Linked DNA regions of Drosophila melanogaster. The protein of the gene in region 1 purifies or fractionates together with the protein of each later gene. This does not show direct contact. Each region holds a gene or a part of one and is shown on either strand. Other genes may lie near its edges. The genes, in order: CG11191 and CHKov1.

Region 1 (4,266 bases):
GACTTGCCGGCTTGCCGGATTGTCCTATCAATCAACCTTTAATTGGCCAAACCCATCAATATTTTTTTCCGCACACCCTTTGGCCTTCGGCGAAGATGTTGCCGGCGAAAGGAGTTAGGATCCCCAGAATGATAACTGTCAGAAAGCGCGGACAAAAGTATTGACTATTGAGCGATGGCCGCGAAACGTATATCTTGTCATGCTCAAAAATCGAGGCGAGCCGCTTTCATCCGAATCATTGCGATTCGATTGCAATTTGCTGCGAGTGTCATCATTCACTCGAATTCAGTTTTCCAGCTCCGATGCGATTTCAAAACTAACCCGAACCGCAGCGAGCACTCCCCACTTTGAGTGATGTGTCAAATCGACGACAGGCCGAAAAGTGCTCACAAAAAAATTCGAAATCTAAATCGGAATGGGAATTGGAATGCCAGGCACTCGAGCCATGTTGAATTGTAAAACTGGTTTCGCCTTTTTTAACACCTAAATGCGTTTAAATCATTCGCCCAAATTGCCGGAAATTTACATGCGAATGTCATTAGTTCAGTCGTCAGTCCCAGCCCTTCCCATGCCAATTGATTTGCTTTCTAAATCCATTGCAACTACGCTAGTCGATGGGAAAGTCAAATGAGAAACATAAGTAAATAGTTTATATTTCGAAAAACTATTGTACTTAAGTATTCGCTCCCTGAAAGTATCAAATTTCAGCAAATGCGAGGAAGAATCGGGGTCACCAAACTCAAATCGTCTGCGCAACACAAGTTTATTACACACATTTTCATGAGTCTGTAGATAAGCAAGCACATCAAAACACTCCTTTTTATAAGAGAACTTTAAAACGATTTCTTTACTCAAGTTCATCGACGTAGTTAAACATTTAATAATATTGTAGCTTAAATGAATATACTTTACTAGGCGATAACCCTGTTGTTTTGACAAATTTCAATATTTATTCTTATTCTTGAAATCTAGCACTAATCGGTGATCAATCTTATAAGCATTTTATAAGGTGATTAAAATTGAACCCAGAGAATGTCCCAAAAAATCTCATAAGCATTTTATAAGGTGATTAAAATTAAACCCAGAGAATGTCCCAAAAAATAGGCCCCGAAAACCTGAAAAGAATCTTGTCGGAATAATAAATGGCGGTTTGTAAAGTATCCTATTTTCAAAACGGACATGTTTAGAGGTGAAAATGTAATTAACATTTTTCTAAAGGGCTGTTGTTTTCGAATCAAAAGTTCGCTGTTTTGTTTAGTCGGTGGTAGAAATGCAACCAATATTTTATTTTTATATTATTTTCTCTACCATAAATTTTCTGTTCACAGGAAAAAGTCCCTTCCACTTCAGCATTCATGGCATTGACACACTATTTATAACGCAATTCGCATGGCACACCAATTCCCATAGTTACATAGTTACGTGGACACCTCCCGCAAATTTAGCGGCGACCCTCTCCGCAAATAGTTTCATAATATACCTGCCACGGAAGGCAGCGTCAAGTTGGCGCCCGCATCGGCACACGAACCGTTATAATCAGGGAGCCGGACTCACCTTTTGGCCCTTCGGAGCACCCCAGCCCAGACACTTGACCGGCTATTCGAGGGCCGTCGGGTCAGGGACTCCGTCGAGGGGGGGGGGAGTGGGCTCTAAGCCGGGCCATTACCGCATTAGCGACGACCCACTCGAGATTCCCAATCTGTGCGCCAGGATCATACTGCGCCTGTGCCGGCAGAGGCTCTCAGCTGGCACAGCTTGCACTGCTCCCCAGTACACTGGGCAAAACCACACAATAGAATTTCAGAATATTTCAGACTTAAAACTGAGTTTAAGCTAATCGATAGATCAACTATATACCATTTAAAGGTTCTTTATTTAAAACAATGCTTACAAATATCTTTAAATGATTTAATGGAATTAAATAGCATGATTCCAATGTGTTTAGGGTTTTCTAAAGTTAAATTTTCAACTTTTACCACTTCAAACATTTCATTTTTCTGCGTGCACTCGAGCCGCTGTCGCGAGGATGAGTCACTGGGCAGGAGCGCCGCATGGGGCGTCCTTGCTCCACCTGCGAGTGTTCGCCGCGGCGCTTCCTCGTTCAGTTTTGTTTGGATAGCCCAACGGGTTGCAGCGGCGATGAGGCAAATGCCCCGGCTAACGGACGCAACTCCGATGGAAGGGCAACAATAGCCACTGTAATTGCAGCGTTCAATTAGGGAGGTACAAAGCGACAGCGACACAAAGACATCGTCAGCATGTCGCACTTGCTGAGGCGCACCAAGAAGTCCTGTCTGAAGGTTAGTCCTCGCGTGGCGCCCAAATGGGTGGCCATCTATAGGAAATCGATGGCGACCCGCGCCGCATGAGAATGTTCAGTAAAGTTCGCATGCCCGTGCTTTCGGCACGTTAATCATACGCCGCGTTGGCCGCTAACGCTATGTTTATCCGTATCGATTTCTGTCCTTGCAGTTCCTGCGCAAGATATCGACTTCAAAGCAGCTCTTTGTCCAGCGGCTGGACGAGGAGGACGGGGACGACGAGGAGGTGGAGGAGGAGCTCAACCTGCAGCGAGATCTGGAGCTGGATGTGAACAGCAACTGTCCGGTGACGGAGGCCATCTACGAAGAGCTGCAGCTGAGCGAGTGCAACCAGGCCTTGGACTTGGCCACCTCCAAGGAGGTGGAGGTGGAGGAACTGCAGCCAGCGGCCAAGCATGACCTGCGCACCAAATACATGATGAGCTGCGGCAACTACGAGGTGTTGGACACACCACTAACGACCATCGAGTTCGAGCGGGTGAAATACAAGGCGAATGTACGCTACCTGCGGCACACGCCCTCCAATTCCAGTCTGGATCTGCAGCTGGAGGAACAGAAGGAGGAGCAGCCAGAGCAGCAGCAGCAGCAGCAGGCTACTCCGCGGAAACAGCAAGTGCTGCAGCAGGCAACTCCTAGGAAACAACAAGTGCAGCAAAGGATTCCCACGCCCAGCCGCTACCATCCCTGCAGTATCAGCCTGGGCTCCAAGCTGGAGGGCAACTACCACAGCGTGGTGATCATGGAGCCACCGCACGACGACTTCCCCATTGTTAAGTGGGACATCAACGGGAACTCCCTGGACGACGACGCCTGCGATCGCTGGGATGACTTCGAAGCCAGGTGGCGGCAGGCGGCGGCGGCCACCAGATCCCTCTCCCAGTCGCAAAAGTCCAGCCACCAGTCCAGCTCCTGCACCCTGGAGACCTGGGTGGACGACACGGAGCCCCTCAGCCTGGAGCTGCACCGACACGACAATGCAGTAGGCGGAAACAACTGCAATCTTTGCCTTAGGAGCTTCTGAGACCGGAAACGGACACTCGGCGGCTTTGTAACCTCCACTTTGCGTCCAGCGATAGAGCACGAAAACCAGTCTTGTGAGAATTACCTACATACGAGTATATTATACATATATGTAATCGAGTATTTGAGTCGGTAGACCGCAATTTTCATTATAGAAAGTTGTTTTCGAGAATATCCATTAACAATAAAGTGTGTATGTGTGTGCGGCGCCATACCTTTGGCTCCATACCTTGAGTAATGCACTTCAGAATGCGAATACGAATGCGAATGCCCTGTGCCCCGTGGGTGGGAGTAAGTTCATCGCCCACCCATCCATCCATCGATCCATTCCGGCGCACGACCCGCACGTGTGCTGGACGCTCGTGAGAATCCGTAGACCTTTGGCTTTCCCACGAGCCACGGCTGCGATTTCGTGGGTTCGTCCCGTTGTCGGTGGTGCAACTTGCCCGCCACTATTCATCCACTTGATTTGGGGTGGGTTCCGGCGATTCGGAGCGAGTTTGTCCCACGCTGGCACTGCCACTGGCATTGGCCATTAGACATTAGGCATTTTCACTTTGCTGCTTGCCGCACTCGAAACCTGAGCGACAGCATGCCGAATCAAATGAAAAGCACTTTTTATAATTTTCGATTTTGATGTACGTTTTTGAAATTGATACGGGGCTCCATTATAGTCAAGCTTACGCCTCGACCATCGAAATTAATCGAGAAAATGGGAGAAATGCTACACTAAATCATTTTGTGGGGGAGAATAACTAATGATATTTCCAGTTATATGCGAAATTGCAACATATAATAGTAAAGGGATATAAAAGTATATACAATAGTATAGGGATTCATATAGCAATATTGGGATTCTTTAGGGTGACAGGACAAAGGAGTTGAAATGAACATTTTAACATAGATATCTACAGAAGAATTATTT
Region 2 (7,812 bases), on another chromosome or scaffold:
AAGATTCCTTTAGTCCCGGAAGATGAGAAGAACGACTTCCACGAAATGTTCGATGCCGAACTGGACATGTACGATCATCTGATACCAGAATTGGAGGATCTATATGCCAAAAACACTTCCATATCACCAAAATTCAAGCCTGTTCATCTGAAGTTTCCAGGAGAGCCGGTAAAAAGCGACTACATTCTTTTGGAGGATCTGCGGAAGAAGGGATATAGGAATGCCGACAGAACCCAGGGATTGGAGCAGTTTGAAGTGGAGGCGGTCCTCAAGAAGTTGGCACAGTGGCACGCAGCCTCTGCAAAAAGAGTAGTCGAGCTGGGTGAATACGAGAAGGACATCCGGGAGAGTTACTTTACTACTGAGCACCAGAAATTACTCGATGAATTCAACATTAATTTTTGTATGCCCTTCCTGGAGTGCATGCAGCAATATAATCTTGAGCCAGGACAGCTCGTTCTCATAGTGAGATTATTTTATATCCATTTAGATAAATTGTAATCATTTTTATTCAGAGCGACTATACATCTCAACTGACGGATCTGAATATTGAGTTTGGTAAGAACGATCCTCTGGAGTTATCTGTGTTAAACCACGGAGATTTTTGGTGCAATAACTTTATGTTCAAGTATAAAAACGCCTCAGAAGTGGAGGACGTTTGCTTTGTTGACTTCCAGCTCCCAAAATATGGTAAACTGAAGGAAAATTCCAAAATATTTAATTGTAATAATAATACTCCTTTCCAGGCACACCCGCCCAAGATCTTCTATGCATACTGATGACCTCACCTAAGTTTTCAATCAAACTGGACAAATTCGACTATTTCATAGAGTATTATCACCAGCAGCTAGTCGAACACCTCACTATGCTCAATTACAATCGGAATGCACCCACACTATCCAAGTTCCACGCCCATCTACACCGATATAGTCTCTGGGGTAAGATCGTTATTAGAAGCTTCTTTCATAGGAATTCTATTTGAAACCTCACCTACTTGTTTGTAGCTTTCATATGCGCCCAGCGAATGCTTCCAATTGTTCTGCTCCCGCCCGATGTTGATTCACATATAGGCAACGTAATGGGTAATTCGGAGGAGGCGATCGCGTTTAAGCGTAAGATGTTCCTGTTGCCGGCTTACGTGGATCAGATAAAAGTCATATTGCCATGGCTCATTAACCGGGGTTACATAAGATAGACGGAGGATGCAATGATAAACAAGTTTCTAGAGAACGAATAGTGTAATAATAATATTGTATTGCATTCATACAAACATGTTGTTCACAAACTATCTCAAAATGCTAGGTGTTAGTATAAGCTAATACGAGAGGGTTTTTTTAAATAAATGTGCATAGTTTTACAAAAAATTATTTTCAATTTGTATGCAGGCTCAATTTGAAGAATTACAGTGAAATCGCTCGTTGTGAAATAAACAAAGGCAAACGACGCTCTTTCAGCTGCCAAAATATTTAGAATGCAATTAGCGGAGCTTTTGAGAGAAGATCGAGAGAAATCGGCCGCGCACTACGAAATTAAAAAGCTCCACAGATGTGTAGAGTCTAATACTCGGCTTTCATCAGTCTACGCAAGACCGTCACACTGGACGTATATGTGTTTTCTGCTCGATTTCAAAATACTTATCCCGATTATCTACAATGGCGGCTGGCAAAATACCCGATTGGGTCACCGCTGAACGTTTCGAAGATGTTCTCAAATCGAATGTGGACGGATATTCGAAAGTGCGAAATTTCAAAGCGGAAATGGGATCCGCGGCAGGTGACAACTACGCCACTAATATGTTGCGAGTTAATATCGAAGTGGAGCTGCAGGGTGAGTTGGGGAGTGGACTGGCTGGGAGCACCGTTGACATCAAATTTCTGCCTTCCAGATGGCACCACCAAAGAGTTGTCATACATGGTCAAGTTGCCACGTCAAAGGGAAATCAACAAGGAAATGATGAAGCACAACATACGTTCTCAGCGACAATGTGAACAAGACGAGCGCCGGCTCTCTTTACAACGCAACAATGCATACTTTTCTTTCGTCTCACCGCAAATCGGTGATCGAGCACCCTCACCTTCAACTAACTCGAAACTTTTGCCCTCAGAGAACGTCAGACCGCGTTCTTGCTCTCGCTCTCTGCCTGCTTCGGCTCACAAGTCGTGGAGCGAAGAAACCGCCTCTCCTACCCCGCTCCTCTCGCAGCGCCAAACGACCGTCCCGGGTAACTGTAACACTGCAATAACGAGTGCAGTGACCTCACTGGCAACTGCCACTGCTACCACAACATCAACTTCGTCAGCGGCCCAACTAATTATCGCTGTGCCAGCTGTAAATAATACAGCAGCACTGACCGTTTGCAACAACAATAATGCACGTAAAGAAGAATCAAAACAAAAGCAGAAGTCGATTTCGACTGTGCAGACTGGCATGGATCGCTACATCCAAATCAAGAGAAAGCTCAGCCCTCAAAACAATAAGGCAGGTAATCAACCCAAAATCAATCGAACCAACAACGGCAATGAAAACTCTGCAGTAAATAATTCAAACCGATATGCTATCTTGGCTGATTCTGCGACCGAACAACCCAACGAAAAAACGGTAGGGGAACCAAAAAAGACCAGGCCTCCACCAATTTTCATACGAGAACAAAGTACAAATGCACTTGTAAATAAACTCGTTGATTTGATTGGTGACAGCAAATTCCACATTATCCCACTTAAAAAAGGAAATATTCATGAAATAAAACTACAGATCCAAACAGAAGCAGACCACCGTATAGTGACTAAATACCTAAATGATGCTGGTAAAAACTACTACACATACCAATTAAAAAGTTGCAAAGGGCTACAGGTAGTACTTAAGGGCATTGAAGCAACAGTGACACCAGCTGAGATAATTGAGGCTCTGAAGGCCAAAAACTTTTCTGCAAAGACAGCTATTAATATTTTAAACAAAGACAAAGTTCCGCAGCCACTATTCAAAATAGAACTCGAACCAGAGCTCCAGGCACTAAAGAAAAACGAAGTGCACCCAATATACAATTTACAGTACTTGCTACATCGGAGGATCACCGTGGAGGAGCCGCACAAACGTATCAATCCAGTTCAATGTACTAATTGCCAAGAATACGGCCACACCAAGGCATACTGCACCCTTAAGTCCGTATGTGTTGTCTGTAGCGAACCTCATACTACCGCAAACTGCCCCAAAAACAAGGACGATAAGTCTGTGAAGAAATGCAGTAACTGCGGGGAAAAACATACTGCAAACTACAGAGGCTGTGTGGTGTACAAAGAATTGAAGAGCCGCCTAAACAAACGTATTGCCACAGCACATACATACAACAAAGTCAATTTCTACTCTCCGCAACCGATTTTTCAACCACCCCTAACTGTCCCAAGCACTACTCCAACAATTTCTTTCGCTAGCGCCCTAAAATCCGGACTAGAAGTGCCCGCCCCACCGACAAGAACTGCTCATTCCGAACATACACCGACAAACATCCAACAAACACAACAAAGTGGCATCGAAGCTATGATGCTATCCCTACAGCAAAGCATGAAAGACTTTATGACGTTCATGCAAAATACTTTGCAAGAGCTCATGAAAAACCAAAATATCCTGATTCAACTTCTTGTATCTTCAAAATCCCCATAATGGCTTCCCTACGGATATCTCTGTGGAACGCAAATGGCGTTTCACGGCATACACAAGAGCTCACACAGTTCATTTACGAAAAAAACATCGACGTAATGCTACTATCAGAAACGCACCTCACAAATAAAAACAATTTTCATATACCAGGATACTTGTTCTATGGTACAAATCATCCAGATGGTAAAGCTCATGGAGGCACTGGAATACTCATCAGAAATCGCATAAAACACCACCACTTAAACAATTTTGACAAAAACTACTTACAATCTACGTCCATAGCCTTACAACTCAACAATGGTTCAACGACTCTAGCCGCAGTCTACTGCCCACCGCGCTTTCCAATCTCTGAGGATCAATTCATGGAATTCTTTAACACACTAGGTGACAGGTTCATCGCAGCGGGTGACTATAACGCCAAGCACACCCATTGGGGATCTCGACTTGTGACGCCAAAGGGTAAGCAATTGTACAATGCGCTTACGAAGCCAGAAAACAAGCTAGACTATGTATCCCCGGGTAAGCCTACATACTGGCCAGCAGACCCAAGAAAAATCCCAGACCTGATCGATTTTGCAATTACTAAACATGTCCCCCGCAACATGGTCACCGCCGAAGCACTAGCAGATTTATCATCAGATCACTCACCTGTTTTTCTAAATATGCTAACTCGCCATCACATCGTCGACCCACCGTATAGACTCACAAATTTTAGAACAAACTGGCCAAGGTATCAAAAGTATGTCTGTTCACACATAGAACTAACGACGGCATTATCTACAAAGGAGGATATAGACAAGTCAACGGAAACTCTTGAAAACATTTTAGTTTCGGCTGCAAAGGCTTCAACCCCGCCAGTGACGTATGCAAAACCAAACTACATCAAAACTAATCGCGAAATCGAGCGGCTGGTATTAGATAAACGACGCCTACGATGGGATTGGCAGTCTAATAGATCACCAATTACAAAGCACATGCTTAAGATAGCCACACGCAGGCTTACCAATGCTCTCAAACAAGAGGAAAAAAACAGCCAACGTTCATATATCGAGCAACTCTCTCCCACCAGCACTAAGTACCCTCTTTGGAGAGCTCACAGAAACCTAAAGACTCCAATAGCGCCAATTATGCCACTACGAAGTCCCTCTGGCACCTGGTTTCGAAGTGATGAAGAAAGAGCCTGTGCTTTCGCTGACCATTTACAAAATGTATTCCGACCAAATCCCTCTACCAACACATTTATTCTCCCTCCTTTAATAGCAGCCAATCTAGATCCTCAAGAACCCTTTGAATTCCGACCATGTGAACTAGCAAAGGTTATCAAAGAGCAACTGAACCCAAGAAAATCGCCTGGCTATGACCTAATAACTCCAAGAATGCTCATTGAACTCCCAAAGTGTGCTATTCTTCACATCTGCCTGTTGTTCAACGCAATCGCCAAGCTTGGATACTTCCCTCAAAAATGGAAAAAGTCGACCATAGTAATGATTCCAAAGCCAGGAAAAGATAAAACGCAGCCATCATCATATAGACCGATAAGCTTACTAACATGTCTTTCAAAGCTGTTTGAAAAAATGCTACTCCTTCGGATTAGCCCTCATCTTAGAATAAACAACACACTTCCAACACATCAATTTGGCTTTAGAGAAAAACATGGAACCATCGAACAGGTAAACCGAATCACGTCAGAAATTCGTACTGCTTTTGAACATCGAGAATACTGCACAGCCATTTTTCTAGACGTCGCGCAGGCATTTGACAGAGTGTGGCTTGATGGACTTTTGTTTAAAATAATCAAGCTGTTGCCCCAAAACACACATAAGCTACTGAAGTCATACCTATATAACACAGTGTTTGCAATAAGATGCGATACAAGCACTTCACGCGATTGCGCAATCGAAGCTGGAGTGCCGCAAGGCAGTGTACTGGGTCCAATCTTATACACCCTGTATACGGCGGATTTCCCCATAGACTACAATCTAACAACCTCCACGTTCGCTGATGATACCGCGATACTCAGTCGCTCCAAATGCCCAATAAAAGCCACGGCACTCCTATCCCGACACTTAACATCTGTAGAACGATGGCTTGCCGACTGGAGAATTTCAATAAATGTTCAAAAATGCAAGCAGGTTACCTTTACCTTAAACAAACAAACATGCCCACCACTGGTCTTGAATAACATATGCATTCCACAAGCCGACGAGGTAACATATCTGGGTGTTCATCTGGACAGGCGGCTCACTTGGCGCAAACATATAGAAGCCAAATCGAAACATCTTAAACTTAAAGCAAGGAACCTCCACTGGCTCATAAATGCTCGCTCTCCACTTAGTCTGGAGTTCAAAGCTCTTCTATACAACTCCGTCTTAAAACCTATCTGGACTTATGGCTCCGAGCTGTGGGGCAACGCATCCAGAAGTAACATAGACATTATTCAGCGAGCACAGTCAAGAATTCTGAGAATTATCACTGGAGCGCCGTGGTACCTTCGGAACGAAAACATACACAGAGACCTAAAAATCAAATTAGTAATCGAAGTAATAGCTGAGAAAAAAACGAAGTATAACGAAAAGCTGACCACCCATACAAATCCCCTCGCAAGAAAACTAATCCGAGTATGCAGTCAAAGCCGGCTGCACCGCAACGACCTCCCAGCCCAGCAATAAACTTATTAGGGCATTAATGAAAAAAAAAAAAACTATCACTAAGTGAAAGTTAATTAAGTTAGATTAAGATTTGAACACTTATTGTTAGTCTCTTAACACAAAGAGAAGATTCAATAAATAATAAAAAAATTTAAAAAAAAAAAAAAAAAAAAACAACATCTTCGAAATCGAACGCACCATGTACAATCTGGTTGTTCCTGAGATGGAGGCTCTTTATAAGGCAGCCGGTGTGGAGGTCACGTTTGGAGCCAAGAGCTATGAACTGAAGAATGCCCAGACCGAGTACATATCTCTGGAGGATCTGTGCATCAAAGGATTTAAGAACGCCAATCGCCTTGAGGGCCTCGATCAAGCGCACACGGAGCGGGTTCTCCGGAAGTTGGCCCAGTGGCATGCTGCAACCGCCGTAAGGGTGGCCACTAAGGGTCAGTATCCGGAAATCGTGCTGAACGGATTCTTCAAGGAGGAAAACAGGCCGATGATGAACGATATGATGAATGGCATGGGACAGGTGTTTGTCAAATGCTGTAGCACCTACGAAGGTAACGAGGCCTATATAGAAAAAGTCGTAAGTTTTATCCCGAAGTTTGCTATAAAAATGTAATTTACGAACTTTCTTATATCATATCTCACTAGAAAGCTCTTAAGGACGTGATGATAGACGAGTTGTTTAAGATGTGCGTAGTCGATCCCACGGAGTTCAACGTCCTGAATCACGGTGATTCTTGGTCCAATAACATTATGTTTCAGTATGATGAGTCTGGCAAAATCAAGGAGGTGTATATGGTCGACTTTCAGGTCTCGAAGTACGGCACTGTTGCTCAGGACTTGTACTACTTCCTGATTTCATCCACAAAGCTGGAGGACAAGCTAAGCAAATTCGATTACTACGTTAAGGTGTACCATGATAACCTAGTGGAGCACCTGAAAATCCTCAAATATTCCAAGCCACTGCCAAGCCTGCGAGATATCCATAAGTCTCTATACAAATACGGAACTTTTGGTATGCATAACTGAGCACAATAATAGAATGTATTTAATACTAGTGTCCATTATTCTTCAGCATACTCTGTGGCCACAGGTGTAATGGCAGCCGTTCTCGTCGATCCAACGGAGAGCGCCAGTTTCGAAAACTTTGTTGGCGATTCCGCCGAGGGAGCGGACTTCCAGATGAAAATGTACAACAATCCCCGCTATCGGAAGCACATGCAGGCTATCCTGCCCTGGCTGCTCAACCGAGGTGCCCTGGACTTTAATTAGGAAAGTAATGATTCCATCATACGACTCCAACACACTCCGACTTATATTCAAAAAAAACCTCATTATCCAACTAACTCAGCTTGGTGCAGCCTACGCGTGAAGTATTGTAAATGTATTAAAATAAATAAATACAAGTTTTTTAAAACATTAAGCTGCTTTTAAAATGTTTATTGAATAGCTTATCTTAAAAACAGCAAATATTTACGGCTGCATACATTAGTATGTACCA

Evidence for each region.
Region 2: the proteins of CG11191 (region 1) and CHKov1 purify together in Drosophila melanogaster (affinity purification with mass spectrometry, with the first as the bait; one large-scale study listed by BioGRID). This does not show direct contact.

What each region holds. Positions count from the first base shown.
Region 1 is NT_033778.4:7,999,957-8,004,222, reverse strand, and holds CG11191 (uncharacterized protein), read left to right. Parts: upstream 1-2,102; 5' UTR 2,103-2,258; coding exon 2,259-2,300; intron 2,301-2,472; coding exon 2,473-3,342; 3' UTR 3,343-3,733; downstream 3,734-4,266.
Region 2 is NT_033777.3:25,323,076-25,330,887, reverse strand, and holds CHKov1 (CHK domain ov1), read left to right. Parts: upstream 1-1,571; 5' UTR 1,572-1,652; coding exon 1,653-1,827; intron 1,828-1,885; coding exon 1,886-1,965; intron 1,966-6,477; coding exon 6,478-6,891; intron 6,892-6,959; coding exon 6,960-7,326; intron 7,327-7,386; coding exon 7,387-7,583; 3' UTR 7,584-7,732; downstream 7,733-7,812. Other genes in the region: CHKov2 (CHK domain ov2), read left to right, coding at 1-465, 516-690, 747-938, 1,005-1,195.